Notamacropus eugenii: one gene and its partner. The protein of the gene in region 1 interacts with the protein of each later gene in a biochemical or structural test. Links are inferred from orthologs where the notes say so. Each region holds a gene or a part of one and is shown on either strand. Other genes may lie near its edges.

Region 1 (16,437 bases):
CCATTAGACTGTAGAATCCTTGAGGGATGGGATTTTCTCACTTGCTATTGTATCCCTTCCCCCTCCAACTTAGCAGTGCTTAACATTTAATAAATGCTTTTAATTATTTGAATAGGCAATTATTAATTATATGAGCTGAAATCTGTTTCCTTGTTACTTCTAATTGTAAAGCAGAAATTGTGGTTCCTTGCCTTCTCTCCTCTAACACTTCTACCACCTTCCTTGGACACTCACTAGCTCACCCCTGGACTATTACTGTGCTGCCTGCTGATTGGTCTCCCAGTCTTAGGTCTCTCCCCATTCCAGTCCATCCTCTACTCAGCTGTCAAATTAATCTGTCTAAAGCACAGATCTGACCATGTTACTTGCCTGTTTCACAAGTACCAGCAGTTCCCTGTCACCTATAGAATCAAATATGAAACCTTCTGCTTAGAAGATTCAAAGCCTTTCACTACCAGGGAGCATCCTACTTTTCCAGACTTCTGCTCTGTCCTATGTACTCTGTGATCCAGTGATTCTGACCTCCCTCTTGTTCCTTTCACATGACCCCCCCTCTCTAGACTTTGGGCATTTCCACACGCTATTCTGCAAGCCTAGAACTCTCTCTCTCTCTCTCTCTCTCTCTCTCTCTCTCTCTCTCTCTCTCTCTCTCTCTCTCTCTCTCTCTCTCTCCCTCTCCCTCTCCCTCTCCCTCTCCCTCTCCTTTCCCCCTCCACCTCTCCTTTCCCCTTCTTCTTCTTTACCTCCTATTTCTCCTGGCTCCTTTCAAGTCCTGGATAAAATCTCATCTTCTACAGGAAGCCTTTCCTCATCCCTCTTAACACTAGTGCCCCCCTCTATTTATTACCTCAAACATATCATCTTTGTGTGTGTATGTATTCTTATTTTTTATTATCTTGTTTGCACATAATTGTTTCTGTGTGCTTTCCCCTTTCTTCTGCCTCCCTCCTCCGCATTAGAGCAAAAACTACTTGCAGGTAAGGATTGTCTTTTGTCTTTCTTTGTATCCCCAGAATTTAGCACAGTGTCTGGCATACAGCAAGTACTTCATAAATAATTATTAACTGACTGACGTTGATGCTTGATAAACTTTTTATTGCTCTTTCCTCCCAAGATGCTTAGTACGGAGAGGACTTGGGCTCTGAATGAAAGAGTATGGAATTTCTGAAAGGAGCATTTGGAAGAAGAAAAAAAAGGGACAAAAACTCATATTGCTGTGGACACATGAACTTTATCCTATCAAGTCTTTGGGAGACTGAGATTTCTTCTCTCTTTCTGCTAAGTTAGTCAATCAACAAACATTGATTAAGCACTTATTATGTGCCAAGTACTGTTCCAAGTGCTAGGGATACAAAGAAAGGCAAAAAACATTCTTGCCCTTAAGTAGCTTATAGTCTAATAGAAGATAATAAACAAACAATAATATACATACAAGATATAGATAGCTCAACAGATTGATTGATCAATTGACCAATCCATAGATAGACATATAGGCAGGATACTGAGTAGTGATAGAGCAATTCTGCCAGAGTATGAGGAGGTCTTATTAACTTTGTTGATGCCTGACTCACACCAAAAAAGAGATTCAACCACTTTGACCAAGATACTTCTACACACTTGGTCTCGGTTTCCCTCTTTTATATAATGAGGGGAGTGAATTGGATGATACCACTTCCTTTCCAAATCTAAAATTTTTTCTTGTTCTGGAGTCAGAGGGCCTGAGTTTGAATCCTACCTCATATCCTTCCTAACTCTGGGTCTTTGGGAGAATCACTTAATCTACCTAGATTTCAGTTTCCTCATCTGTTCAGTGAGGGGACTGACCTCTGAATTTGAGGTCCTTCCAATTCTTAATCTTTGTCCTATGACAAAAGTCAGACGTCTTAGAGAACCAAAAATGTATTGTCATTGAAATCAGTTTTTACCTTGTATATGCCGCAACCAGCATAGGGTCATGTGATTCTTAGATCTTCAATAAATGCTTATAGAATAGGATTATGAAAGTCCCCCTACCAGGGGTCTGTAAACATGATTGGAAGGAATTTATTTTCACTAACTACCAACTGAAATTGAGCATTTCCTTCAATTATTTAAAACATTACTCTGAGATGGAGTCCATAGACTTTACCAGACCATCCAAGAAGTTTAAAAATCCCTGTTCTAAATACTTGTCAAGTCGCTGAGAGATTTCTATTCCATCAATGAGTTACTGTAATGCACTTGGTCAATGGGGCTTTCTTTGGCTGTCGTAGTGAATTAAGGCTGATATTAACTTAGGCCACAGAATTTTAAATAACTAGAATGGATAAAGTAGGAATTACTTTACCTTTCTTCAGGTAGACTAAGTCCTTTGCTTGGATAGTATCCATCCCATATACTCCCTCATTTTAGTCATTTAAAAGCCATACCTCTTCTCTCTTCCCTTTACTAAAATGACAGTGGGTCTTCTTTTATTTTTTTTAATTGTGCCCCTTAAAACAGGAAAGTGAAAATGCTTGCTCTCTACTCCATTTCCTTCTCCTTCCCTTCTCCCTCCCCTTTTCCCTGGCAGCCTCCTCCTCTTCCTCCTGCTGCTTGCTTCTCTCCATCCAGACAGACCTTTGATCTGGTGTACACCTATTTCCAGCAGCCAGCACCAAGAGCTATCATCTTGGATGCTATAGTTAAAAAGCCTTGTAAGAGGTTCCTTCTCAGAAGATAAAAGCAAAGGGGGAATAAAGAGAAGGAGAAGAGGAGCTAGTGAAGAAGGAGGACTAGAAAATGAAGTATGGGGGCAGAGGAAGGAAAGAGGGGGAGAGAAAATGAAGGGGGAAGGAGGGAGGCAGGAGAATATAATGTGTGTGTTACACCAAATACCCCCAATTAATCGAAAGTATATCCTGAAAAGTGAGACCAAAAAAAACCCTTTTTTACATGAACTTTTCCATAAAGACTGTAATAAAGTTTGAGTATGAGGATAGGAAGGGTGGAGTAAGGCAAAGGGCAGGGAGAACCCTGGAGACACATGTTGCCTACTTCCTCATTTTCCTCAAGGCTGTGGCTGGCAAGAGTGGGAGAGGTCATGCTTCTGCTGACCTTCCAAGCAGGAAGCTCCAGATGACCCCCTCTCCTTCTGCCTCAGCCCAAACTAGCCAGACTCAGGCTCTTAAGACCCAGCTTCCAAGGACTGCGTTGAAGCAAGGCTCTTCAGGGCTCTTGACATATGGGGAGTAGAAGACAAAAAAAGAGTGAGATTGTCTTCTGGGAGCTACACCCCACCTCTATGAAGGCAGTGACACCAGTTCTGAAAATGTGTGCTCTTGTTTGGCCATAAAACTGTCTACACAGCTGGAACTGGGTCACCAAACACAGCCACAGGATGCTAGAACTGTCAGGGGACTGGGAGCTCATCTAACCCTGCCCCTTCATGTCACAGATGAGGAAACAGAGGCTCCAAGTGGTTAGTGAACTGCATGATAGCAAGTTGGTGGCAGAACTGGGATGTGAGTCTGGTTTGGGCCCTTTTCTTTCTGGCCTGGTTTATTTTAATGTGAGGTATTCCTCACACTTAGCATTCACTGCTTAACAGTGTAGACAGGCAGGGCCTTAGAAGCATACTCAGATGCAAACTGACCTCATTTCAGCTCCTCCTGGATCTCTTACTAGTTTCAAGGAACTGAACAACAGTATACAGCAGCATGGCACTGTGGGAAAATCCCCAAACATAGTTCTAGTCTTGTTTAATAGTTGTGTGACTTTGGACAAGACCCTTCATCTCCGACCTTCAGTTTCCTCTGGTATATAAAATCTGAATGATAATATTTATACTAACTACCTCTAATTGGGAGGATTACTGTAAGTTAATATATGTTTGTTTGCTTCCATATTAATATAAATGATATTTTACTACTTGTACAATTCATATTTAAAACATTTAGTAACCCATACAGTGTGAATTTATATATATGTATGTGTACACGTAAATATATGTGTATGTATATACACATATTCTTATTTGTGTCTAATGGTAGCCAGCTCTAAGGTAGGGAGAGAGAAAAAATGGGGGGAAAAATTTACTTGATAATTTTATCATATGTCTAAAAATAATAGCAAGTTACACATAATAGATTCGCAGGTTCCTATGCAGTCATCTTTTTAAATTATACTATGTTACGGAAATGCGTGTTTTATTCCATACATTAAAAATAAAATAAATATTTTAAAAAATGAATTACTATTAACTCATATACACATCAAATCTAATTTTCACATTGCTACAGATTTTGATCAAGCCATCTTTGAGGCCAAAATTATAGTTTAATTCCATGATCCGATTCACTCAATTATACATTTCCTATTTGTAGTCTGTGAAGATTATGAAGACACAGCCTCAAAGTTCATTTCTTAGATCAAAAATTCCTTGAGGGCAGGGACAAAGTGTTACTTCCTATCTTTGGGAGAGGTCTAGCACAGTGTTTTGCATATTTATAAGGTGTTTAATGAATATTGAGTTGATTTATATGCCTCATACTCTGTTCAGATGGAAACATGACCTGATTACCTGTATGTATTGAATCTACTACCTTGTGATTGCCAAGTGTATTTTCTGGTGTCTTCAGTTTTCATTTTCATGATTTGCTGATTGATCATTAAAGATGACTGCAGTGGACAATAGTCCACTGTGATGCTCATTCATGTTCTGACAAAGTCCATTCCATGCTTAACTGGAGATTTGAAAACTCAGACTTTCATTTTCATCAAGCAGGACTTATAACAGTAAAAATAAGAAAGACAAATGAAGGCAAAAAATAAAAAGCAGAAGTGTGACCTTCAACATCAGGTTTCATTCTCTGGGGAAATGAAGGCTGCCTCTACAGGTGCTCAACAGGGGACTTGGTTTAAGGAGGCTGGCTGACTCTTTCTCAAAGTGATTCAGTTGAAATTTAGCTTTCTGCCTCTCTAAATCTAGTAGTGGGGTTCAGATGAGCAAGGTCTTTCTTACCTCTTATTTCTTTAAAAATAAAGTGCATTGATATATTTTCTTTTTATGAAACTTCATTTCCAATACATCCCACGCTCCTGCCCTGCCAGAGAGTCATATCTCAAAGCAAAGAATCAAAAAGAAAGAGAGGAAGGAGGAGAAGCTATTCAGAAACATTATGCAATATAGCAACAAAGTCTGGTAGGCTGTTAATAATGCCTCTTGTCAACAACTTATTTCAAAGAGTCCAGCAAGTATTCCATTTTATGTGTTGTAGATACATCTAACCCTGTGAACCATTTCACAGATGAGGGAACAGAGGCTCCAAGTAGTTGGTGAATTGCATAGCAGCAAATTATTGGCAAAAAGTCCCTGCCCTAAAGGAACTTATCTACTTTTCTTTAACATTTTTCTGTTTTTTGCTTTTTCATTGAAAGAGCATCTTGACAAATTTTGAACACAATTTAGGACTTAGTATTCCCTCAAAACTACGTGAAAGGAATCTTTTTTTTTTTTTGGAGGAGAATGGAACAGAAGGCAAGACTGTTCAGAGATGGCTAGCTTAATAACCTTGGGTTGTCAATCATCTCTATTGCTGGTAACCTAGGTAGAAAACAGGGGATCCACCCCTCAGAAACTCTAATGTGCTCCTGAACTTCCGGTTGAACAAGAAATGAGGCAGAGTTTGGATGTGACTAAGCAAGGCTGCCCAAGTTTCCAAGTTTCCTTGAAGAGAATTAGAAACTCTTAGAGAGGGAAGCTTTCCATTCAACCTCCTCTCTGTAATTCAGTTTAATACAGTTCTCCCCTACTCATCCTTTAATCCCAGAAACAAGTCCTGAGGGAAGAAAATGAATATTAACATAACACCTTCATCACTAGGAGTGCTCTCTTTCTTAATAGTAAGTGTAAGATGTTCTTAGTTGAATGTATGCAAAGCAGATGGGGAGGAAAAAAATTTAATAAGAGATTTCCTCATCTGTAGAATGAGGGGGTTGGACCTACAGGCCTCTAAGATTTCATTTAGCACTTAATATATGATCCCAAGTCTGAAGCGCCCAAATGGAAAAAAGGATGGTTTTTCCCCCTTTCTTCTCTCCATGATTTTTTGAAGTCAAACCATCCTCCCACCTCTGGAAAAAAAATTGGGGGTAGGGACCCAAAAGACTTTTTCACTCCTTCTGAAGGAGTAAAATGAAGTGGAATTCTCAATCTCTCATCCCTCTTCACCCATCCCCTTCCACCTCCAGCCCTGATTTAGAGCCAGTGGGGATTGACTCAATCCTACTGAGATTCTGCTAGATGAGGTTCCCCATTTCTGTTTCCAGGGAAGGAAGTTAACATCACCCCAATCCCTTCCTCTCTCTTTTCAGCCCAGCCCTCAGTGGAGCAGTTAGTACAGGTGGTAGAAACTAAAATCATATGTAGGCAGAAGTGGGCCCTGACTATTATCTGTGCCCAGGTGCTTAGGGTCAGGTAGATTGGAAAAGTGCCATCCATTCATTTCTGGAGAATAGGTGCCCACCCTTGCACAGAGACATAAAAATATCCTCAGATAAAAATGCCTTTGCTTGGGGAAGCTCAATGTTTTCTTTGGGGTCTTTTAGTGGAATTTTGTCTTTGAAAAGTACAGCTAGCAGCTGGCAGTTTCAACCTACTTCCATCCAGATATAAGAGGGAAAACATAAGCATATCATTGTATTTATCTCACTGCCTGCAGCCCAGGAGGAAAACCCCTAAATTATCTTGAACACAGGGAGGGCAATTCAATTCAAAAACCTCTCAAGGGCATTTGCTCGATAAGCTACTTACATTAAAAATTCCTATCACCGCTGTCTTTTTGTGTATTGTTTTTAGAAAATTTTATTTGGTTTTCGGGAAAACCAGAGTTGTGTAAACAGACCATCTGCAATAAAGGGAGTATCGATTTATATAGATGTATTTAAAAACCCATCTAGCATAATTCCAGCTTTGCTACTTAGTTAGTACCTTGGTGAGCTCTAGCATCATTTGATTTTTCTGAACCTTAATGTCCTCACTGTAACAGGAGGGAGTGGAACCAGAGGTTCCCTCCTGCTCAAGACTTTTCTGACATTCCACCAGAAGAGCCCCTTCTGCATTCTCCTCCAAAATTTCCCGCAGCAGAGCCTCAGTGCCCAGAAGTGCTGACCAGCAAACAGACAGATCCCAGCTCTGGCTACAAATCTCAGTGTGTATGAGAGGGAGAGAGAAGGAGGGAGGGAGGGAGGAAGACAACCGGAGGAAAATTTGCATGCCCAATCAGTTTCAGAATTAAAGTTTACACCATGCCAAGTGAGTGGGCAAGGCTGATGAGATCACATGACTGTGTAGAAACATGAAACTTGCCAGTGTGCTCCAGCCAGTTTTACTTCTCCTAGAGTCGGAGCGGAGCGCTCCCGGAGGGACTCGCATTCACTGTCGGGCTAGACTCCCCGGGCTCCTCCTTGGCTCTTTTAACCAGAGGCTCTCCGCCACCCTTGCTGTTCGTGTCAAGACAGGCTAATGTTGCCCCTGGAGGGGTTTTGGTTCACCTTGTGACTGGGAAAAGGAAAGGAAAATGGAGAGGCTTAATAGGATAGCTGTGCCAGCTGGGCAGAAGCTGAGGTAAGTTTTCGCTCGTCCCGATACTAAAGTCCTGTTATCTAAAGACAGTGACAAATCCCATAGGGGAAAAAGTTTTCTATCTCTCTACCTATTTTTTTTTTACTTTTCTTTTTTGCTATTTTTCCATTTTTCTTTTTCTCTTTTCTTTCTTCCTTTTTTCTTTTATCCTGGCAGTTTTTTCTTCCTTATCTATTTTTTCTTCCTGCTCATCTTTTTCTGTTGTATCTATGCTGTTTCCTTCCTATCGTTTTTCATTCTACATGTCTATTTTCTTCCTACCTATCTTTTTAAAAAGTTTCTTTGCTGTTTTCTTCCTACCTATCTTTTTAAAAGTTTATCTACATTATTTTCTTCCTATTTTTTTTTTTATTCTACCTACCATGTTGCTTTCTTCCTACCTATCTTCTCTATTGACATTGGTTTCTTTTCATCTTTGTCCAAGTGAATCTGCTAAGTGGCCTTCAGTCCATGGCCACTTTAAAAGCAAAAGAAGACAAAGAGCACAAAGTGAAAGCTAAAGAGACTTAGGCGCTTTTTAAGAGCTGGTTTTCACGCTCTCTGATTCCAAGAAATTCTGCTAGAGGTTCACTCACTGGTTCTGGTTTGGTTTTTTTATAATGATGATTGTAATTCTGTGGCTAGATTGTGGGCTATGTTGGATGAGTCCAGATATGGATACATTCTACACATGTGTTAGGATGATAGAGATCATGTGGTCAAATGGGCCTGGCATCATGAAAATCTGGAATTAAATTCTAATTATAACACTTATCAACCTCATGACCCTGTGCAAGTCACTTATCCTCCATGTGTTTCATGCAACTCCCTAGTACTAAATCATAGATGGATTGCCTTCTTTTAATTACAGACTCTTTACATATTCATATATTTTAGGATTAGAGGTAGTTTTTCCTACATCACACCATTCTAAGTAAAATCAGGGAGGCAAAATCCTATTGTAGTGTTTGATTTTTTTTTAAAGTCCAAATATCATCAATTGATGTAGTAAAAATGGGTCTCTTGAAAGATAGAAATTTTTTCTGGACTATGGAAAAGACAATTCCAAGCTTTGGTTTTAAAAACTTTTATATAAGGATATTTTAACATCAATGCAATTCACTAATTATTGCTTACAGTTTGGCTCTAGAGAAAGGCATTTTAAAGAGGGGTGTATTCTAGCAAACTTCACATGGGTTTTTATGATGAAATTACATATTAGAAATCCTCCTCCTCCCATCTTAGGGATGCTCTGATGTACACAAGAGAAATAGTCATTACTGCTGATGATGGCAATTCAATAAAAGTAGGACTTCTCTGAAGTTCTTAGGACTATGGAGGACCTTTGTGTCTCTTAAATACTGATTCAGTAATGACAGTAATTCAGTTCAATAGTAATTACAGAAAAGCTTCTATAGGCTAACAGAATCCTAGAATAAGGGAGGGAGAAGGGAAAGGAAGAGGGAATAAACGTAAGTCTCTATAGTACCTATTCTCTCACTAAAAGGACAAGCCATAAATGAATTGATTAATTCATACAAGGGAGGATTAGATGCAAATGTGAAGGTTACAGATGGAGAATCTTGTCAGACTTCAGAGAAAGTAGACATCAATGTGAAATGGACTGAAGAAGTTTAAGAAAAACTTCCTGAAGGTGGCACTTGAGTCGCACATTAAGGAACAAGGAGGATTTAGATGGAAAAGAGGAAGGAGAGAGAATGCTGGGAAGTTGAAACAAAATGTTCAGAGGCATGGACATGAAGTATTTGCTGGACAATAAGACCTTATGACCTTTCCAGAGGGTTCAAGTTAGAGAATAGTAGGAGACAAGGTTGACTAGATGGGTAAGGATAAATTACAGAGAGTCTTGAAAAACAATGGAGAATCTAGACTTTACCCTTTATGCCAGTGGTTCCCAGGCTGTATGGCCTACAGATCATTGGGAAGCTATTAATTATCAGACCCCAATCTGTGTGCACTAAGCACTAGTATTACATCATTGTGTATATTCTTAGTCAGTGGATGCTAATAGTAATGTCGTGTGGATCCATGAAAATGTTTTAATATTAAAAAGGGGTTCTCTTACTATAAGGTTGGGCCACAGTTGCTGTATACAAAAGGGTGTCCCTGAAGGTTGTTGAACAGTGGAGAAAAGATTAACCTGGCAGCATGTGGGTTTTAGCCTGGGGGATAAATCGCTGGGTGATAACTTCTGAGAACCTAGTTGGGTGGCCAGTCATAGTCATCTAGCCGTGAGATTTTGATGTCCTGGACTAAAGTAGCAGCAGAGAGAATAAAAAGACAAGCATTGATGTGAGAGATATTTCCCAGTGAGATTAGATAAGCCCTGATAAATATAAAGAAATCATCTTTAATGATGTCTCTGAAATGAATGAGGGATTTCAAGAGCTACCTTAAGCAATCACTGGTGGGGGTTTTTTTCAGTGAATTCAGATAAGAGACTAAGTAAAAGGCGTTAAATCTCTACCATTTTGTGCCCTGCCCTCCCTTTCAAATACAAGGTCTAGCTTGATTACAGAGTGGAAAAGGGAAGATATGTTATTGTAGATTACAGGGTAGTACATGGTGTGTGTGTGTTCATCCTTCATTGCTGAAGAAGACCATGCCATCAGAGAAATGATGACATGACTTACACTTGGCGTTTGTTTTATTGGGTTTTTTTGAGTGAGGGAGGGCTGTGCAGGTCACCAGCCTCATTTCTCCTCCAGAGCCGTCTGAATCCAGTGACCAGATATTCATCAGGATGACTGGAGATGGCCCAGGATGAGGCAATATGGGTTAAGTGACTTGCCCAAGGTCACACAGCTAGTGAGTGTCAAGTGTCTGAGGTGAGATTTGAACTGTGGTCCTCCTGACTCCTGTACTGGTGCTCTATCCACTGCACCACCTAGCTGCCCCAAGTGACTTGCCCAGGATTATACAGCTAGTGAGTATCTAGGGCTGGATTTGAACTCAGGTCTTCTTGACTCCAGGCCCAGAAATCTATCCATTGTACCACTTAGCTGCCCTGTGTAGTAAATGGTAGTTCTATTGTGAATAATACATAAGCTGGATTTGACCTGAATTTTTCACTTAGGAGACCACTATAGACATTGTAGGCCTTCATAGTTAGATGATAAATGGCTAAATAGATAGATATTGTATATGATAGAAATATGGTCACTTGTGATTGAGTAAACATGCTATTGAATGTGCTTTATCTGTTCTCACATCATTCACAAATGATTTTTAAAATTTTTGCTGAATTAAGAACCCTTTGAGAGTTCATGTTCATTTGAAATGAAGGCTTGGGACATGTCTACCTATTTCCATCCATTTTATATTTCATTATGTTTATTGTATCCATTCATTTCCTCATAACTTGCCAAGTAAGGAAACAGTGCAGATAAAATGCTGAGCCTATTAAATGATATTCCTACTTTTGGAGGCCTCTGGGAGCAGCTTTGAAGAGTTAGTTTTCAATGTCATTGTGAATTAGGGAAAACTGGTGGTCTACCAATTTTATAAATAGGAAAATTAAAGCATGGTGACATTAAGAGGCTTGTCCAATCTACATAGGATCTAGTATATCACTAATTCAGGGTAAATAATGCAAGAATTTTGGGGTACAGTGACTAGTATTATTAGACCAAATTCACAAAATCTCCATGATAACTTAGTAGATCTGGTCACATAATGAAATCATCTGTTGGAAAGTGGAGGGGCATTTCCCGAACAGGGAGATGGCATTCATGACTATTCTAAGATCAGACAGAAGGAAAACCAACCTAGATAAAAATTAAATTTGTTTTTCTCCTCTCTGCATCCATCATGATTTTCTTGGCGCCATTAAGGAAGTAGAGTGGGAGAATGCCAATACTAACAGCAGGCATTTAGGATGTTTTTTTACATATGATCTCACTTCACTCTTACATCTACCTTGTAGGTAAGTGATCTAAGTGCCCCTAATTTGAAGATGAGAAAACTAAGTGAAGAGAGAGAATTATGCATAGAGGAGAAATGGCAGTGAAGGAGTGCCTCTCTTCTCCTCCATTATACTGAAGACATAATTACAGTTCTCTGCTCTCCTGCCACAGTCAGTCAGTCAATCTACATTTATTAGGTGCCTACTATGTGCCAGGCACTGGGCTAAGATCTGGGGATACACAAAAAGGCAGAAGGCTGTCTCTCCTCTCAAGTAGCCCACAGTCTAATGAAGGAGACAACATACAAATAAATAAGTACAAATATGCTATATCCAGGATAAATTGGAAATAATCAACAGAGGGAAGTATGCTAGAATTAAGGGCGGGTCAAGAAAGACTTCCCGTAGAAGGTGGCATTTTGGCTGGGACTTGAACGAAGCCAGGAGGTGGACATGAAAAGGGGGAGTACTCTAGGCATAGAGAATAGTGAGTGAAAATGCCCAGAATTGGGAGATGGAACTGTGTGCAGGGTCAAGCCCCTACTGGGCACCTGAGAACTTTCCCAGTCTCCTAGCACAGAAGAAGTTAATGAATTAAAGAAAGTATAGCAGAGAGTTCTTTCTGAGGTTGACCCTGAGATATGAGAGGAGGGACAGAACGTTTGGCAATATATGTCTCTGTCATGGAGGAAACAAAAAAAAAAACCAAAACAAACAAACAGCTTGGCTAAGCAGATAAACAAGATGAGACAATTGAAGAAACTTAATATGGTAGACATTTTATTATATTTGCTTAGATGAATGAGTCCACTATAAATTAGATAATGTAAGATATTAAATGTGTAAAAAGAGGTGTGAATGTGTGAAAAGACAAAAGAGAATTCTAGGGGGGGCTAAAAGAGAGATATGGTGAGTCCCTGGATGTAGAACCAGGAGAATTTTGGAGATTGGTTTGCCTAAATCCTTCATTTCATAGATGAGGACACAAAAGCCCAGGTAGCCAGTAGCAGAGGTATGTTTTGAAACTAGGTCTTCCAAGTCTATCCTCAGAGTCCTTGTCATACACCATATTGCCCTGGGAGAGAAAAGTATATCAGTGCAAACAGAAGGTATGGATATCCCTGAAGTGAGCATGCTAACTTCTAATTTAGCAGTGAGTATATTCCTTAAGTAATTCAGATTTGTTGAGGAAATCATTTCTGAATCTTTCTGAAAGACAGTGCCGAGAGAGAACAGTTTGTTGTTTTATTTCCAGACCCCTTTCAGACAATGAAAAGAGTCCTTTGGGCAGAGGGATGATTCTCATTTCTCAGGGCCTCATTTTCCTCATTGAAATGAGAAAAAATAGTTTCTCAAGTACCTAGCATAATTCACAGGGTTGCTATGAGGTTCAAAGGAGGTTAATTTTGGGGGTGGGGGTGAGAATTGCAACTTTAAATGTACTATATGGATTTCAATTATAATAAAATGACTACAGTAAATGAAAATGAAGCCAATAACTTTAAACATCATGTTGCATAGTTTCTCTATACATACATCTATACATAAAAATTGGCAGTTTTAAAATTTGTTATTGGTTAATAAAGAACTTATTTTTTGCTTAGGGATATGAACCATTGAGTCACTGGCATGTTTTCTCTGTGTTCATACAAGTCTCAAGTGTACCAGTATGTTTCATAAAAACTCCCCTGCTAGCACATGGTGGCAGTAAAATAAATAATCATTAGCAAAGTGCTAGCTTTTTAGAAGCCTACATAAGATCTTCTTCTAGACCTTAGCAATAGAGAGTAGTGGTGAATGCCACTCATGGTGGGTACCATCCCACGGGTACATTTAGCAGAACTGAAAAGATGGGAAGGACATAGGGGAAGAGGCACAGAATGAGAAAGGAATTGGGTCTCCCAGAAGGCTTCAGTGTGGATGAGGGGACTTTGAAGTGAAGAGAGCTTTGGAGCTTTCCTGGGCAGGTTTTGTACCATGAGTGAAACTTCTTCGTGGAAAAAATCTGGGGCCATGACATCACCTCCTAGGACACATGGTGACAGGTGCATGGGCAGATCCACGCTGATGGTTTCACCTCTCAAGGACGTATTTATCCATGGATACAAAACAAAGGTATTTATATATACTACAAAAGTCAATACACAGGCACAGAGAAGGCCTGGTTGTTGAGCCAATAGACAAGTATTTCCCTTCCAGATTAATTCAAAATGTCCAAAAAGTGTAAAACTCATATTCAGTGTGATTTATAATGAATAAATTTGGAGACTTTTGTATGAAATATGCATTATCATAGCTATGTTTAGTTAAAAACTCAAGTGAGCTGGACATTCAAGGCTCAGCTGGAATTTTCTTGATCTTTTTACTCTGTAAAAAGAAAAAGAAGTCTAATGTAGTTATTGAGAGTTACTTGAAGGAAATATACACAGATAAAGAAAAATTCGTGGAAAAGAATGTCTATATTTTTAAAAAAAATACTTTGACAAGGATCTACATCAAAGTATGACTTAAGAAGAAAAGAAAACTGAAAGTATTATGTAGGATTGGGGCAATATTTTGTCCTGGTTAGGAACTAATGAAACCTAGAAACAGGTATGTTAGGGATCAATAAGCATCGACTAAATACAACTCGTGTAATTGCCCCAGAGCCAACAGTATAGTCTAACTTCTTCCACTTTGGCAAAACTGATCCAGAAGAGAGAGTTTAATGGCCTCTAACTTTGCAGATAAGGCTCTCAGGTAATGAAAATGATTGTGCTAACAAAGGACAAACTTCAGGAAGCTACCACCAGACTGGGCCTGGAGCAGAAAATGGCGGAGAATCCTGCTCTTGGGCAAAGGCAAGGTCACGAGTTTAGAGAGAAAGTGTTTAAGGCAGGAGTCCCTGCAGATTGCTGCCTAAAGTGAAGTAATCACTCCAGGCAGCATTCCAGACTCCTTAAAGGGTAGGAATCGTTCTGTAAAATAACTTTTATTATTAAACCTCTTGTTTAAAAATTGAATGTTAAGCATCCCATTAAACTTGCTTGGTAACTATTGTCATTTAAGTTAATTTCAACCGAAAGTATGACTTCTCATTCACTTCCTCAAAACATTCCCATCAGAATTCTATTTATTCTCATTCCCTTTTCCTCTTCCATGGATGTGGAAGTTTATGTGCCCTCCATTTTTGTGATCAACAAACAGATTTTTTAGTACTTACTATGTGCAAGGCACTGTGCTAAGTGTTGGAAATTCAAATACAAGCAGAAAGAAAGAAAGAGAGAGAGAGAGAGAGAGAGAGAGAGAGAGAGAGAGAGAGAGAAAGAGAAAGAGAGATGTCCCTTCGAAGCTTACAATCTGATAGAGGAGGACAATACATAAAAAGAAACCTTAAGACTGGGGGTGGGAATCTCACAAGGGAGCAGAGGAGAGAAAGTGAGGCACAGTCTGGAGAGGAATGATAACAAAGATGACTTGGACGCTCTCCTTAAAAGGAGGTTCTGTGAGGAGGTATCCAATCAGAGGAAGAGGCCGTTGGGACTGGTGGGTACTGCCAACGTGTGAATTGCAGGGTTAGAGTTAGTTTCCAGGTTGAAGAGGTTTCTGGGGCAAAGTAGAGAAAGTCCAGAATGCAGTCTACCAAGGCATGAATTATATTGCTAGTTATACTTTTTTGTCTTTGCCCTCTTTCGTGAAAGTCTTTTCCAGATTTCTTGTACTCATCAGTCTTAATGGTATGATAGCTCATTGAATTAATATGTTGACTGTTTTTTAAAACCAGCTTCATGATTACATTGGTGTAGTGAAAAACTCCTTCTGCTAATCCCTGTTGGGGGCTTTAGAGAACTGTCTGAGGTTTGGAAAAATTAAGTGACTTGCCAGGGTCATATAGCTAGTCTGTGAGAGAGACAGGACTTTAATCCAAACCTTCTGGGCTCTGAATCCTTCTTCTCAATCCAGCATGAGTATGCTTCTCAAGATTAATAAACCATAATATATTTAATCACTCAAGAGGTATAATATTTATGGGTAAATCAGACAAATATTTATGAAGCTATTTTAGTTTCCCTTGTACCACCTCTTGGGGCTAACAAATTCCATAAATGTCCTTTGCAACAATACTGTCCTCCTTTGCCTTCAGGCTGGCACTTTCAAACTCTTCAGGGATTCTCTTCATTTTATATTTTACTATTGAGAAAATAAATTTAAATTTACTTTCTTGGTACCTCTCCTGCTCTATCTACCACCATACTCTTACAAACCTTAAGGCTGTAGCTTTCCGTACTCTTCAACCTAAAACTCTGATTGCCCTTAGTCTGTTCACATACAGAAATCCCTGGATCACCCCGATCATTTGAGTTGTCTTTCTCATGGAGGCCAGAGAAGTATGTAGTGTTCTGAATATACCCATGGATTTATGCTTTACAAGGCTTTCTATTTTACTGCTTATGTTAAGGAAAGGGAGGAATACTTAGGGATAAATAGGATAAAGAACAAATTTTTGCAAAATTTCCCTTGATACTACGGTCAGAGTGGTTATTGTGGACCATTGGTCTAAACAGTTATGGCATTTCTTAAGTTTTATTGTCCATTCACATCATAATTTTTTTTTAGAAAGTGTCATATCAGGATCACAAGAAGTAGAGGGCAATTGCTCACTTCCTTAAGTGTGGATTCCTCCCAGTGGAAGGAAGACTCCCGTGGCATCAGATTTATGTTCTATTTATGGAGTCTCCTGCAGGATTTGATCATAACCTCATGACCACTGTAATCTGAATAGCTCCAGTCAATGTCTTGGTTCACCCCTTTTCTTCCCCACTAGCACGGACTATGAGGGCCTCTCCTAAAAGAACCCACCCTGCACAAGATTCTGCCTTGGGACTAGTGTGTGTGGTCCAGGAACCCAAGGAGACACAGATGAGGAAGAGAGCCCCCAACTTTTACATAG
Region 2 (16,437 bases), on another chromosome or scaffold:
GTCTACCCTTCGTGCCTCTCCGTGTCTCCCTCCTACTCTGTCTGCTGGTCTCTCTGCCTGTTTGCCTCTATCCCTGTTTGTCTCTCCCACCATACTCTTCAGTCGTTCTCTTGTCTTCCCTTCTTCCTGCCTGCCTATCTCTTCCTTTCCTCTCTGACTCCCTCATCTTTCTTTCTCTGTGCCCCTCTCATCTCTCTTGCTCAGTGTCCTCTCATCTCCCTCCTGTTTTTCTCATCTGTCTATCTATCTCCCTTTCTCCGCCCCCCCCTTTCATCTTTCTGTGGGCCGCTAGGTGGTGCCACAGGGCACAGAGTGCCTGGCCTGGAGTCAGGAAAAGTCATCTTCAAGAGTTCAAATCTGGCCTCAGACCCTTACAAGCTGTGTGATCCTAGTCAAGTTACTTAACATTGTTTACCTCAGTTTTCTCATTTGTAAAATGAGCTGGGGAAGGAAACGGCAAACCACTCCAGCATCTCTGCCAAGAAAACCCCGAATGTGGACACAGAGAGTCAGACACAACTGAAAAAACACCCTTCATGCCTTTCTCTGCCCATCATCTGTCTTCTCTCTCTATGGAGGTCTCTCTCATCTGTTTTCCTCCTCTCTGTCACCCTCTATGTCTGCTGCTCTCTCCCTTTCTCTCTCTGTTTCTCTTCTCTGCTTGTCTTCCTCTGTCCTCTTATCTCTCCCCTCCCCTTTCATTCTCTCTCACCCTAGTCTCTTCTTGTCTCCTCTTTTTTCTTCTCTATCTCTCTGTTGGCCTCTGTGTCTCTTTGTTTTTATATTCAATTCATTTTAATTAAGCAAACATTTATTAAGTTCTTATTACATGTAAGGCCCTATGCTGGACTCTTGGGAAAAGAAAGAATGAAAGAAAGAAAGAAGGAAAGAAAGAGGGAAGGAAAGAAGGAAGGAAGGAAGAAAAGAAAAGAGAAGGAGGGAGGGAAGGAAGAAAGGAAGAGAAGGAGGGAGGGAAGAAGGAAGGGAGGAAGGAGACACAGAAGGAGATGTTTCCTTGCCCTTTAGGAACTTACATCCTAGTATTATTATTTACCCACAAATAATAATAGTGAACCTAAAGACAAAGACACAAAAATGTTCTAAAATATATTTAAGCTGGTGAAGTCACGTGGTAGGGAGAGGTTCAGGAGGGCTCCACAAAGGAGGCGGCACCCTTCTCTTGAGAGTCCTGAGAGAAGAGAAGACTTCTGAGAGGCCCAAGTGCAGAGACAGGACATGGCAGGCATTCAGGCTAGCCTGTATAAATGTGTCATTGTGGGAGATGAGAAGAATGAGTAGGGTCTGTTTGACTGAAGGTAGACTACATGGAAGGGAGAAATGTGTGAAAAGGGAGGGTGCAGCCAGATCTGGAAGAGCGTTCAGCTTCTCAGCAGATCCTAGATGGAATGGGAAGCCCCAAAGTTCTTTGACCAAGGCAGTTGATTCAGTCACCTCCACTCTTTAGATAATTGACTGCTATGCAAAGGATGGATTGGTGAGAGAAGAGATCGTAGATAGACAGACTAATTCAAAAGCAATTAAAATCATCTGGGCAAGAGACAGTGAGGTCCTAAGTTAAACTGTGTGAGTTTGGTGAAAGGAAAGAGGGTGCGGATAGGATTAACAAGACTTGGCAACAGACGGGAGGGAGAAGGAAGAGTCAGGATGACCCTGAGATTTGGGATCTGACTCACTTTCTGTTGGCCCTCTGCCTCAGCCTCTATTTCCCCGTGTGACTGTATTTCTCTTTGTTGGTCTCTGGGTAGCTGGCTCACTATCTTGTCTGTTCTTTCTCTGTCTTTGGATCTCTGTCTGTTTATCTCATTCCTTATGTCAGGTCTCCCTCCTCCTTCCATCCCTCCCCATCTCTGCAGATAATCTTCGGCTCAGTGATTTCTCACACTAGTGGTGTGGATGGGAAGGTCCCCTCCAAGTCTGGAGAACGTGGATTCATCTCCTGTCTCTGACACATACTGACTGTGTTACCTTGGACAACGACACAGTGCCCTCCCCTCCACATTGCAGAAAAGGTATCCTTGGTATCCAGAAAAGATGCCTTGGTAAAGAGCATGCCCTAGGACAGTGATCCCTTAGCTGACTCCCTTACAGCTGAGGGGAATATGGGATCAGTTTGCCCAGGACTCTGGTCACAAAAGCCCATTTCTTCTGGGCTAGGTAAGGGAGGAGGTCATCTATGGCTCCATATGGTATACTCCCACACTCTCTAGATGAACTTCTGGAATGTGGAGCATCTCCATCTGCATACTTCCTCCTTTCACCATCCTTCATCACCTGTGAGCTTATACTTGGTCTGCCTCAGGGAGGTCTATATGCCCTGGAGATGTTGGGACCAAAGATCAGACCCGAGAACCCTCAGAAATCACTAAGTCCAAAGTTCATTTTACAGGAGGTGGGAACTGAGAGCTAAACAGGAGATGGTACCAGAGAGATGAGCATCTTGGTTTTAGGAGAGAAATAAGGCATGGGGTGAGGTGGAGTGGGACAGGAGCTGCTTAAGCATGTTTGAAGGGCATCAGGAAGTTCTGGTCCCTGAGTAGCGCAGAGATCCATCTCTTCTCTATCTCTGAGGGCCTCTTCTGCCCCCTCCCATAGGTACTTCCTGTTTCTTCCCCACCCCCACTTCCAAGGGAGGGGTAGAGCAGCAGGTGCTGGAGTGGGGGATGGGGCTTGTTTACTCCCCAGCTTGGGGAGACAGTGACAGCTGGGGAGGAACACTGGAGACCTGCCCAGCTGGGTGAGTTTCCAAAGAACTGAGGATTCAGGTCCTAAGAAAAGAGACAGACGTGAAGCTCAGACACCTGGGCTGCTGGGTGAGGAGGGTGTGGTGGCTAGGCAGTGAGGATGTCCAGGGCTAGAGGATGGGGGTGCTCAGACCTCTAAGGTGGGGATGGCTAGGTTTCAGAACCCCTGGATCTCCATGGCATGGTGTTTTACACACAGACCATCAGTCCATCCCGCCCAATGGAGAATGGAACCCTTTCCTTCCCCATGGGCCACAGATTTATTATCATTAGTAGCTATAACAAAACTTAGGGGGAGGGATCCTGCTTCAAGCACCTCCTGCATTATAGGGAAAGAGTTATAGGGGAGAAAGTTAAAAGGGATCAGGAGTCAAGGCATGAGGGGGATAGAGAAGGGGGCATATCATGGGAGAGAGGAAAACATGTCAAACGTGGAAACAGAACATGAAATATCAGAGCTGGGAGGGATCTTGGAACAGGGAATATCAGAGCTGGGAGGGGCCTTGGAACAGGGGATGTCAGGGCTGGGAGGGGCCTTAGATACCATCTAGTCAAACTGACTCCTGAGGAAACTGAGAGTGGGACAGTCAGAAAGACCTGAAGGGGGCAGTTTAAGGGAGGGAGGCTGCTTTGAGCAGGGCCAGGAAGGGCCATCATGGCTTCTCTAGCTGGACATCTCCCACCCTGAGGGTAGTGGCATCCTGGTAGGTCCCCTGCAGACCCCGGGAGATGTCCTCATACATGGCGCAGTCATCGAGGTTAAGACCCTAGAAGAAAGTGGAGGAGGCTGCAGGTTAGCCTTGGTGGATGGAGGTGGGAGATGTCTCCTGGGACCCTCCCTCCACCTTGGGTCAAGGGAGTCTAATCCCAGCTCCCTCCCTAGTCTCTCCACCCCTAAAAGGGCCTTACCTCATATAGGTTCTCATCATCATAATAGTCCAAGTGATCCACAGCATATCTCTCATTCTGCCAACGCTTCTAAAGTGGAGAAAAATGTGGGAGTGGGGAGAGATCGCCCAGAGAGGTGGAGAGGGAGAGAGATTGTCCAAAGAAGTAGATAGGTGCCAGATCAGAGGTGGGGAACCTGCAGCCTCGAGGCCACATGTGGTTCTCTAGGTCCTCAAGTGCGGCCCTTTGACTGAATCCAAGTTTTCCAGAACAAATCTTTTTATTAAGGGCATTTGTTAAGGGCATTTATTAAGGCCACAGCTTCTCCACCCTTGGCCCAGACCTATGGTCACAGGGCTGTGGGATTTAAAAACTGGAAGAGACCATGGGATTCAGCGGACCTCGCCCCCTCTTTTTCCAGAAGAAGAAGCTGGGGCCAAGAGAGGTACCCTGCCCAAAGGCAAACATCAGATCTGGGATCTAAAGCCAGGGCCTCTGCCTGAACATCCAATGCTGTCTCCAGGAAACAGCAGCTGCTTTCCCATACACTCTGCCTCCAGGAAGCTTCCTCTCTCTCTCTCTCTCTCTCACACACACACACACACACACACACACTCATATACTACATCACAATCACAGTTACACACAAGCACACAGTACACATACCACACACTCATAAACATACCACAGACACACACACTCACACACACACACACACTCAGACACATACATACACTCATACCACATCACAATCACACACACACACAAGCACACACCACACACACACACTCATACATCACACACCACACTCATACACACCACACCCACTCACACCCAGACATACACAAGCACACATCACACATACCACACACACATAAACATATGCAAACACATCACACTTACACACACATACACAAACACACACTCATACATCACACACCACACTCATACACACCACACACACATACACATCACTCTTACACAAACACACATCACACATGCCACACACATGCCACACATGTAAACATATCACACACACCACACTCATACACACCACACACATCCACACACACAAACACATCACACTTACACACACACATCACACTTACACACACATACACAAACACACATCACACATACCACACACATAAACACACGCAAACACATCACACACACACCACACTCATACACACCACACACATCCACACACACAAACACATCACACTTACACACACATCACACTTACACACACATACACAAACACACATCACACATACCACACACATAAACACACGCAAACACATCACACACACATACACAAACACACACTCATACATCACACACACACTCATACACAAACACACACTCATACATCACACATACCACACTCATACACACTACACACACTCACACACATAAACACACATAAACACATCACACTCACACACACATACACACTCATATATCACACACACCACACACATAAACATACACAAACACATCACACTTACACACACACTCACATACACACACTCATACATCACACATACCACACACATAAACATACACAAACACATCACACTCACACACACACACACAAACACACACTACCCATCCTAAGGTGACCTGTGCCCTCCCTTTTTTCCCATTCATCTCTGCTAACTAGATTCAACCTTTCTAACTCCCAGAAATGGGTACAGAGGGGCACTTAGGCAGTGGGCCCAAAGAAGGGCAGGGGGAATGGAGTCCATCAGGGCATGACCAAAGGTCCCATGGGGAAAGAAAGAGTAGTGGTGAGAGACCTGGATGGAAAGGGGAAGGGAGGGGAGCCCAGGGCATCAGAAGGGCTTAGGCCCAAGGGCCATGAGAGCCTGGGGACCCCAAAGCAGCCTTACCCTAAAGAGCAGCAGTGTGCCAGGGACGACTGCACAGAAGAGCAGGATGATTCCCTCTGCGGTGATAATTCTGTTTTTTGTGCCTTCGCCCATGTCCAAGAAGGGTCTGGGTATTGGCTCTAGGAGAGGGAGGATGGGAGGGGAGAGATCACTGAGGGTGACAGCCCCACCTGCACCAACCAGCACCAAAATGCCCAGGGTCACCTGCCCAGGCCGAGTGCCAGCTCCGGCTGCTTGTGTCTTCCAAGGCAGTAGCCAGTGAGGCAAGGAGGGAGGCAGGAAGTTAAAGGGTCAGACGTATCCCAGCTCCCCCTAACCTTTTAGGGTCTGTGCATTGTTTTCTTCACAGGAGAGGGAGAAAGGGTGGCAGTGAGGCCCAGACTTGGTCCTGGCTCTGCCTCCTATCAGGTGGCTCAGTGGATAGAGCTCTGGGCCTGGAATCTCATCTTCCTGAGTTCAAATCTGACCTCAGACACTGACTAGTTGGGTGACCTGGGCAAGTCACTTCACCCTGTTTGCCTCAGTTTCCTCACTTACCAAATGGGGATACTGATAGTCTCATTGCTAAGGATCACAAATTCAGAGCTAAGAGACCCATGAGATCATGGAGTGCAATTCCTCTGTATCACAGATGAAGAAACTGAGAGGCCCAAAGAATTCAAGTGACCTACCCAAGGTCACTCGGGAAATAAGTAGGACATTCAGGACTCAAAGGAGAGTCCTCAGACTCCAAAGTCTGGGGGAGGAGGGGTCTTCCATTTGCATCATCTAGTGGGTTATTGTGAGGAAAGAATTATGAAGAGCCAAGAGATTATTCAGATGGACAGACCTCACTGGCCCTGTTTTACAGAAGGAGAAGCTGAGAATTGCCGGGAAAGGTAAGTGGCAGAGTGAGATTGCCTCTGAAACCTCAGTCAGGAAGGAAATCTGCAGCCTTTTGCCGTGGCCTCATCTTCCTTGGGAGAGGACAGGCTGAGGAATTAAGACAACTGTGTTCATGAGAGGTACGGATCCGGGAGAGGATGGTCATGGCAGTTAAAAAATAGTAACTCACTTATAGAGAGTATCGGGGCTTGCAAATCACCTTCTACCAATCAATTCCTCAAAACTTCTGGCTGTCTGGGGGGACTGGAATCCATGAGCCCCTGGAGGAGGTGGGGGAGGTGCACTGGGAGACCCAGAGGTGAAGTCTGGGAAGGAATGAACTCACCACGAACCCTGAGGTAGGTGCCACAGGACTCTGAGGCTTGATCATTCTCGACAGAAACTTGACATAGGTACATGCCTCCGTCGCTCTTGTTTGCTGCCAAGATGACCAGTGTCCCATTGGGATGAATGAATTTCTCCACCTTTTTCCTGGGCCATGTGAAGCTATCCATGTTGACTCGCCACCAAGTCACGTTGGCATCGGAGCTCCCATCGTGTTCGCAGTGCAGCAGGGCCGTGCCCCCCACAGGCACAGTCACGGAGGGCTGGCCAGGCTCCACTCTCAGACCCCAGGTGAGGAAGCCTAGGGGCAGGGGCAGAGTGAAGGAAGAGCCCAATCAGAATCAGCCTCCTAACTTGCTGCCTGTGGAGTGAGCTCCAACCTGGGAGCCAAAGTTCACAGAATTCGGAGCCTCTTTCCTTCTCTGCCTCTTACTTTCCTACTTGGAAAGAGGAGATTCATTTCAATTTCTGAACTCAAGCTCTCCCTGTTCTGGCCTTCTATAGTATGTCCAAAGGGCTCCCCCAGCCCTGACATCCCCTGTTCTAAGGGCCCTCCCAGGCCTGACATTCCATCTTCTCAAGGTCTTACCAGCTCTGACTTTCTTTTCCTTTGGCATCTCCCAGCCCTGGCTGGTATACAGACAATTAGAGCCAGAGTTGAGAGACTTTTTAATCCAACCCTTGTGAGTTTAATGATGAGAACAGGCCCAGAGAGGAAAGGGGGCTTGCTCAGATGGAACTTCAAATCATTGGCCCGTGGAGGAAGGGCCCATACCAGCTATTAGCCCAACCCCCTCCAAGGCCCTCGGATTCACAGGAGGAGAGAATGAGGCCCCAGAGGACCAGGTTTTTCCCCAATACCACAAGAACAAGGCAGGGGACTGAGGAAGATCTAAATAAACATGAATTAAGTGCATGCACAAGGCTCCCAGGTCATTTGACATGGTACTTTCTACTATATCTCAGTGAGACAAGGAATTTTAAAAGTTGGGGTACCCCCCCCCAATTCTCCTTCCTCAAACCCACTATAGATTGGGGGATGGGGAGGGAGAGATTACTTTCATTTCTTCATTTGGACCTGGGTAAATATAGATGGGTGATCGTGGGCAGATGTGGGCCTGACATATCAAAGGGGCATCTTGTTCTCTGTTCCATTGCTCTCTCTGGCTTCCCCAAACCCTTTGGACCACCTTTCCCTCTCCTCAATTTCTTACTATCCCCAGAACTCAACCTGTTTTCCATGTTCCTGCTGAAGGGTTTAATGGAGGCCCAGGTAGAAGGGGCCGAGACCTGAGCTGGGTGTCAAGAGATGGGAGATCCAATCCTTTGTCACTCACTCAACATGGGACCTTAGGTGAGTGCCTTGCCTCAGTTTTCTTGTCCCTAAGATGAAAGGGATGGTCTTCGTGGTCTCTCTGTGGTTTTGTGGTTTGATGTTTGACCTTGGACCTCCTCTAGATCTCCATTTCTCCCTCTATAAAGTAACAGCTGTCTTGATATTCCATGAGTCCTGCTCTCAAAAGGCCCCACGTCTGGACATAACTAGACACCCAGTCCTTCCCCAGGGATGTCACTGGTTGCTCCCTGTGCCAACCTCACCCGCAAACCCTGTCTTTATCTCAGAACTTCCCCAACCCCTAATCCCCTTTCACCTTGATTCAAACACTTACCAGGGTTCAGAACAGAGATGAGGAGCAGGACCAAGGGCGGAATGAGGCTGGACATCATCCCCAAAGGGTCCCCAACTAGCTGAGATCGTGCTGTGGAAAAAGGAGAGCTGTCTTTGCCTGTCAGGGCGTGGCTTCCTGCTGCACCTGGATAGGAGATGAGCTCCACTGCTCCCCCAATGCCAGCCCCCCCAGGGCCAGAGACAGAGAACAGAGCTGGGTAGACCTTTGGGACAGAGTATGTTGGAGCTGGGAGGGTCCTCAGGCAAGCAAAGCCAGAGGGCTTATCAAGTGTTTTACTCTGGACCGAGTGCTGGCAATATGGACATGAAAACAGACAGTTCTTATCTTCAAGGAGATGCCATTCTAAAAGGCTCCCGAAGATGGGGCAAGGAAGGCTAGGGAAATCTAAGGGCAGTGAGGTTAATGAGGCCAGTGCCCACAATGGAGACCCCCAGATGGAGCTCACCCATGGGAGAACAGGATGGGGGACAGTAAGGGATGTATGCATCACATGAAGAGGGCCCTCAGGCCCTGAGGATAAACTTTCAAATGCCTGCTGCCTGCCTCTAGGCAGGATAGATTTTCCCCTTTCCACAGGAACTGATTATTAAAGGAACAGGATTCTAAGAGACTGTGGACCCTGGGCATCACTTTCCCTGTGCTCTGGGCTAGAAGAGCCTCCATTTGGAGGCTTGGGCTTGGGCTCATATAGTGAGCTCTATCATGCCCACAAAGTCTTTTAAAAGTAGAGTATTGTAATTGTCAGGGAGAAATCCTGGCTCTGCCAGGTGTGACCTTGGGTGTCATCTCCCATCCTGGGTCTTTGCTTCCTTTGCTATAAAATCAAGAGACTTAACTGGATGAGGACCTTGTTGTGTGCCATGAAACCTTTGCTGACCAAGCTTGGCCACAGCTAGGCAGCTGGGTGACTGCTATTGCTCCATCTATAAGGAGCACTTCCCCCTGTGTCAAGATGAAACCAGTCTCTAGCACTTCCACCCATGGCAGCTAGTTCAGCCCTTGGGGGCCAAGCTGAACAAGGCCACCAGATCTAGAATCCCAGATTTCCTCTCTGGGCATATCTTCCATGTCTCTGTATCTCTCTCTTTCTCTGTCTCTCTGTTTCTCTCTGTCTCTCTCTCTTTCCCCCTCCCCCATGTCTCTCCACCTCCCGACCCTCCCTCCTCACCTAGTCTCCATCCTGACTGTGATGTCCAGTCTCTCAATCCCTCCCTCTACTCCTTGGTCATCACCCCTGCTCTGGATATCTTTCCTCACTTCCCCATCTTAACCTTTGGGTCTTCATGAATCCCTTACCCCTTGCCATGGTCATTCATGTCTTGCCAATTCCCCTCTCTCAATCTATGGTTACCCCAACATCCAAGTTTCCTTTAAAACTCAGCTTGAATGTCACCTTCTACATGAAACCTTTCCTGACTTCCCCCTTCCCCCTGCTAGTGCCTGTATCCTACCAAAAGTGCCTTGCATTTATTATAATTAAGAATAAGAATAAAATGATACAATTATAAAGTGCTTAGCACAGTATTCGACACATAGTAGGCACTATAATGTTATTGTTTAGTTGTTTAATCAGACCTGAGTTCAAATCTCACCTCAGACACTTGACACTCCCTAACTGTATGACCTTGGGCAAGTCACTTAACCCCAATTGCCTCATCTTGGGTCATCTCCAGTCATCCTGATAAATATCCAGTCACTGGATTCAGATGGCTCTGGAGGAGAAGTGAGGCTGGTGACCTGTATAGCCACCCTCACACAAAACAAAGTCAAGTGCAAGTCATGTCATCACTTCTCTGATGGCATGGTCTTCTTTGGCAACTAAGGATGAACACACACTCACAATTGTGTTCCCACTCTTCCTGACCCCATTTGGGGTCTTCTTGGCAGAGATACTGGAGGGATTGACCATTTCCTTCTCTGGTTCATTTTACAGATGGGGAAACTGAGGTTCAGAAACTTGCCTTAGCTTACCCAGCTGATGTCAAGATTGAACTCCCAGTCCTACATGATATACTGTTGCCTCTCAGATTGACCCTGGAGGGAGTCGCCGCTGTTATGCAGCCTGAGTTGGCTACTATGTTATGTTCTCCAATATCAACTGGGTCCTCCCTACTACACGGCAATCCTTCAACGCTCACTGTATACTCTCATTCTTTTCGGATGTCCCTCCTTTCCCCCCCAGACCCAGAATGCTCTCCTTCCTCTGCTCTGCCTACTGACTTCCCTAGCTTCCTTTAAGTCCCAATTACAATCCTATCATCTACGGGAAGACTTTCCCCAATCTCTATTCATTCTTGAATCTTCCCTCCGTTAATTATTTCCTATTTATTCTGTGTGTAGTTTGTTAGTATATGTTTATTCACCGTTTATTGTCTCCTCCACTAGGTTGTGAGTTCCCTGAGGACAGTGACTATCTTCTGCCTCTTATTGTATTCCCAGAGTTTAGCACAAATGCCAGCACATAGTAGGGACTCATTGATTGATTTTATCCAATGTTTAAATTCAGAATCAAAAGAAAGAAAACCGCTTCCCTTAACCCAGTCAGCCCCTAAAGTTATCCTCCTCTATCTTTTCTCTACTTAACTCTAGAAAGGGTCATTTCCACTCACTTCATCCATTTCCTCACTTCCCACTTCTCAATCCCAAGCAATCTGATTTCTATCCCCACTATTCAATGGGAAAAGTCCTCTCCCAGATTACAAATGGTCTTCATTACCTGACACCAATGGCCTTTGGTTAGTCCTCATTCTGACTTCTTTGAAACGCAGGTTACGGATGTCCATCCTTCTCCTCCTGGGCACTCATCTTTCTTGGTTTCCATGACATCGCTCTCTCTTGTCTGGATGAGCTTTCTCAGTCTCCTCATCATCCTTCTCTCACTAAGTGTCAGCATCCTTCAAGGCTCCATCCTGGGCTCTCTTCGCTTTTCTCCACATTCTCATTTGGCAATCTCTTCAATTCCCACAGATAGAACTATTTCTATGCTGATTCCTTCCATATTTAGAAATCTAATCCCATATCATCAACTGTCTCCTGGACGTCTCAACCTGGATGTTCTGTAGGCGTCTCCGACTCAACATCCCCAAACCAGCCTATTTCTCTGGAAGGCGCTAGATTTGGGTTCCCAATTTGGAGTCATGATCAGTTCTTCATTTTACATTCTGTTCCTTATCTAGTCAGCTGCCAAGTCTTAACAACTCTTCTATCCAGCTCCTTCTCACACAGAAGTGTGCTAGTAAATATTTAACCACCAAGTTTGTGGTTCTCCATAAGATACCCTTTTAAGTCTAATATGCATTATTAACATTTTCCTCCATTGCTTTAAGTCTAGAAATCAACAAAATAGTAAACCAAGCCCTGACTTATAGACATTTTCTTTTTTCTTTTCCTTTCCTTTCTTTTCCTTCCTCCTTCCCTCTCTTCTTCCTTCCTTCCTTCCTTCCTTCCTTCCTTCCTTCCTTCCTTCCTTCCTTCCTTCCTTCCTTCCTTCCTTCCTTCCTTCCTTCCTTCCTTCCTTCCTTCCTTCCTTCCTTTTGCCAATATCCAAGGTATAAATACCACACTGAAAATTTAATAATTGGCTCTCTTCAGCCCCTTGTAACTTTTTAGACCCTTGCAATTACCCCCTAATTGGTGCTTCTGTGTCCACTCCCTTCTCAATCCATCCTCCTCAAAGCTGCCAAACTGACATTGCAAAGAGGAAGATGGGACCATGTCACCTACCCTCCCAAAAATATTAAATGACTTCTAGGATAAAATAGAAACCTTTCAGCTAGGCATTCTGAGCCTTCCACATTATGATTCCTCCCTAGTTTTCCAGTCTCATTTCATATTTCACCTCTCTATCCAGTTGCACTGGGCTGTTTCCATCTCTTACATCAATGACTTTGCTTAGGTGGTAGCCCCTGCCTGGAATGCCCTCCCTCCTCACCTCCAGCTCTTAGAATCCTTAGCCCTCTCAAAGTCCAGCTCAGGTGCTACCTGCTCTAAGAGGCTTTTTCTGATCCCCTCCCCCATTGTTAGCACTCTCGCCTTCTTGAATTTACTTTGCATTACTTGGTATGCAAATATCAGTGTATATTTTGAATCTTCCTCAGGAGAATGTAAGCTCCCTGAAGTCAGTCTGTTGAGCTTCTAGCATGGTGCTAGAACTCAATGTTTGCTGAAATGAATTGAGTATGTCCCAGGAATGGAAAAAAGCTAATATGAATCCACAGAGGTGAGAGGCAGAATATCCAGCGCAGAGAACCCCCTGTATTGGAGGTTTGACTAGAGTACAGAATTCATGGAAAACAGTAGGACGCCATCATTGTGGGAAGGCAGGCTGAAGCCAGGTTGTGGCAGATTTTAAATGCCAGGCTGAGAGATCTGAGTTTTCTCCTCAAGGAAACAGGGAACCTTTGAAAGGTTTTTGAGCAAGTGATGAAGACAATTGGATGTGTGTTGCGGACAATCTCATTGGCTGGTCAGTCAGTCAATTAACATTTAATAAATAATTACTATGACAGGCAGTATGCTAAGTGCTAGGGTTACAAAAAGGGGCAAAAGACAGTCCCTGGCTTAAAGGGGCAGGGAGGAGGGTAGGGGAAGGAAGAAGGGAGGGAGGGAAGGAGAGAGACAGAGAAGGAGAGACAGAGAGAGAGAAGGAAAGAGGGAAGGAGAGAGCAGGAGGGAGGGAGAGAGAGGAGAGAGGGAGAAGGGAGATTAGAAGCAGAGAGGCCAGTTAAAGGTCTACTGCAAAAGTTCAGATGACATGGTGCCTCTGTGAGTGGCCAGAGACAGGCAAAAGGGGAAACAAGATGGAAGACTGAGGGAGGAAAGGTGAGGAAATGAGGAAGACAGATTGAAGGAAAGGAACAGATGGAGGATTGAGTTTACTCATCTCTTTTCCTCTCTCTTAATCCTCATTTCTTTCTTCTCAATTCTCCACCTCTCTTTTCAGTCTCTTCTCTTCTCTCTCTCTCTAGCTCTCTCAATCCACACCTCCCTCAATCATCCATTTCTCCCTCTGTGTGTCTCATTTACTCATGTCCCTCACACCTCCTCATCTCCCTCTTTCTCTCTCAATCCCCCATCTCTGAGGGGACAGAAGAGCAATGCCCTAGAAGTGCTTCCTAAAATCTCATCCTTGCAGGAGAATAGAATGGGTACCCAGAGGTAAGAAATGGCTGATAATTGGATTTGGCTGGAGGCCTCAGAATCACAAACTCACCTCTGGGTTCCAAGGGACTTCAGAGGCCAACTAGTTCAACCCTTACCTGCCTGAGAATCCCCTCTCCAACCTACCTGACAAGTGATCATCCAGCCTGCACCTGCACACCTCCAGCAGGAGGGAGCTTGTGAGTCCTGGGGCAATCCAGTTCACTTTTGGACAACTCTAATTAGAAGGAATTTTCCCCTTTACATCAAACTGAAATCTGTCTCCACAGCTTCTACCCATGACTCCTTGTTCTGCCCTCTGGAGCCAAGATGAACAAATATAATGGCCCTTCACAGACTTAGTCAGGTCTCTGTTGGGGGTGTAAGCTCAGTTTTCATGTGAATAGTCTTGGGCAGGTAAAAGTGAGGACTTCTAAACCTCAGAGTTCTCACGAGGCCCCCCAGGGAACAGCTGGGAATTGAGGCGTGAAACACGAGCTATCTCGTTTTTCCACCTCTTCTCAGTGGGAAACTTGCTGGGGAGAGCATCCCACCCTTGAGATTGTTCACGTGAAAACTAAGCTTACACCCCCAACAGGTCTCATTCCCCACCCCCACTCCATCCCAGTCTTCTCTAGACTAAACATTTCTAATTTGTTCCTCTAGATTTGGCGTGATCTCTGTGACATTCACCATCCTAGTTGTCTTCCTATACTCTCCAGCTAATTTATGCTCTTTTAGGGGGTATATGGGGAGTTCAGGAGGAAGAGCAGCTTTCCATCTTTGATGTCCACATGATTCACTCAACTCTCACCCATGGTTCCAAGAAGCAATATCATGGGCAGCAGCCACACCCCGGTAAAACTATCCTAGCACATGGGCCAAACCTGGTTGATGGAAATTGGTGAGTTAGGGGGATGTCTACCCCAAGCGTGTGAAGACTTCCCATGGCAAATGGTTAGATGAGAACAGTATGTCCCAACAGCCATGAAGGTGGCTAAAGCAGGCTCTGTGGAGCACTTGGTCAAACATGGAAGACACCAAGGATGTCTATTGCATCCTGGGTCATTGCCAATGGTCTTGGCTTCTGTCTTGTCATTGGATTTAAGAGACAGCGAGGATGGGGACATTGTATCACTCTGCCTCACATCCAATTCACGCACAAGTCATCACTCTGTGATGTCACTGGTCCTCTTCAAAAATGAAGGACAAGCAAGAATGCTCTTTTTAAAATATGGCACCCCTCCCTCATCTCTCCACTCCAGATATAATCTGCCTAGGGCAGAGTTCAGTGGAACCATTACCTCCTATTCTCAGAGGATAATGTGCCTCTCAAAATGCAGCCTCCCATCAAGTTAACCTCTGGGACTGCCACTTCACACTAGGGACTCATATTGAGCTTGTGATCCACCAAAACTTCCAGAACTATTTTAGTGGAACTTTGGTCTATGTCCTCTTCTCCCCACCTTGCAGGATGAACGTTGATTTTTGGAACACCAAAGTAGAACCTCACATTGAACTTTATTTTGAATTCAATCCAGCGTTTTAACCTCTTGGGATATTTATGATCCTGACTTTGTTGTCCCTTGAGTTAGTTAACCCTCCAGGCTTTGTGTCATCTGTGGATTTGGTAGGATAGAAACTGAGGAAGAACTGTGTTTACACTATACTTGCTTACACACAAAATTGTGTATTTCAGAAGGAGGAGGGGTGATTGACTAGGATCCCCTATAATGATTTACAAAACATTGATCTGAAAATCACTTTGTAAAGAAGACACTACAACCATTCCAAGACAATAGGGGTAGGTACTCTTAATTTGTACTTCTCATTGGATTACATTGGACTAGGTTGAATGAAAGTTCTCACTGCATTCATTGGAGGACTCCACTGGAAATCTCCTTCCATGTTGACTCAACAATGACTATTCTTTGGATTCAGTCACTGGGCACATTCCAAATCCACCTGATCAGATCATCCCCTGAGTAGAGGATTTAACACCTGGGATCCACTCTCCACCCCCTCCACCCCCCCATCCCAAGCCCTATTACAGAAGAGCACTGCTGGGACTCCCCAAACCAGATTACAATATAATTGGGAGATAGTTAGCAAAACAAGTAAAAATACAGTAAAACATATGTAACATTACATTTTAAAACTAAATCAACATGTGGCCTGCAGGGGTCCTTATGTGTGGGTTAGTGGCCCCATTACCTACTTGAGTTTGATACACTATATTATTTACATTTCCCTATCCCATTCACAAGTACATCACAAGCTGCTTTGTCAAATGCTTTGTGTCATATTTGCTGATAGCATTTCTCTGATCTACCAGGGAAGCAACTATGGCAAAAAAATAAGAGTAAAAACAGTCGAGCTCTGTTGCTTCTTTTCCAAGATATACCATGCCAGTAGAACTTTGGAACAGAAGCCAAGTTCACTGGTCTGTAGTTTGTCTTCCTGAACATCAACTGTAAGTTTCTTCTTTTTAAAAAACATTTATTAATTTATTAGTTTACAACATTCACCTTCATAAGTTTTAAATTTTCTCTTCCTCCCTCTCCTTTCCCTCCCCAAGACAGCATGCAATACGATATGGCTCTACACATATATTCCTATTAAACATATTTTTTACATTAGTCATGTTACATAGAAGAATTTTAACAAATGGGAGAGACCATGAGAAAGAAACAAACAAAACAAAACAGAAGAAGAAAATAGCCTGTTTCACTCTGCATTCCAATTCCATAGTTCTTTCTCTGGATGTGGATGACATTTACCATCAAGAGTCCTTTGGAAAAATTTTAGGTCCTTGCATTGCTGAGAAGGGCAAAGTCTATCAAAATCAGTCAT

The links.
Region 2: the proteins of BLNK (region 1) and CD79A form a complex in vitro, tested with the Homo sapiens proteins (2 studies listed by BioGRID). The link is inferred for Notamacropus eugenii from reciprocal best matches to the Homo sapiens genes BLNK and CD79A.

What each region holds. Positions count from the first base shown.
Region 1 is NC_092872.1:212,971,156-212,987,592, reverse strand, and holds the start of BLNK (B-cell linker protein), read left to right. Parts: upstream 1-7,308; 5' UTR 7,309-7,538; coding exon 7,539-7,585; intron 7,586-16,437. UniProt on the Homo sapiens protein: Functions as a central linker protein, downstream of the B-cell receptor (BCR), bridging the SYK kinase to a multitude of signaling pathways and regulating biological outcomes of B-cell function and development.
Region 2 is NC_092876.1:25,695,605-25,712,041, reverse strand, and holds CD79A (B-cell antigen receptor complex-associated protein alpha chain), read right to left. Parts: upstream 8,545-16,437; 5' UTR 8,483-8,544; coding exon 8,425-8,482; intron 7,056-8,424; coding exon 6,756-7,055; intron 5,665-6,755; coding exon 5,546-5,664; intron 3,741-5,545; coding exon 3,672-3,740; intron 3,530-3,671; coding exon 3,416-3,529; 3' UTR 2,965-3,415; downstream 1-2,964. UniProt on the Homo sapiens protein: Required in cooperation with CD79B for initiation of the signal transduction cascade activated by binding of antigen to the B-cell antigen receptor complex (BCR) which leads to internalization of the complex, trafficking to late endosomes and antigen presentation.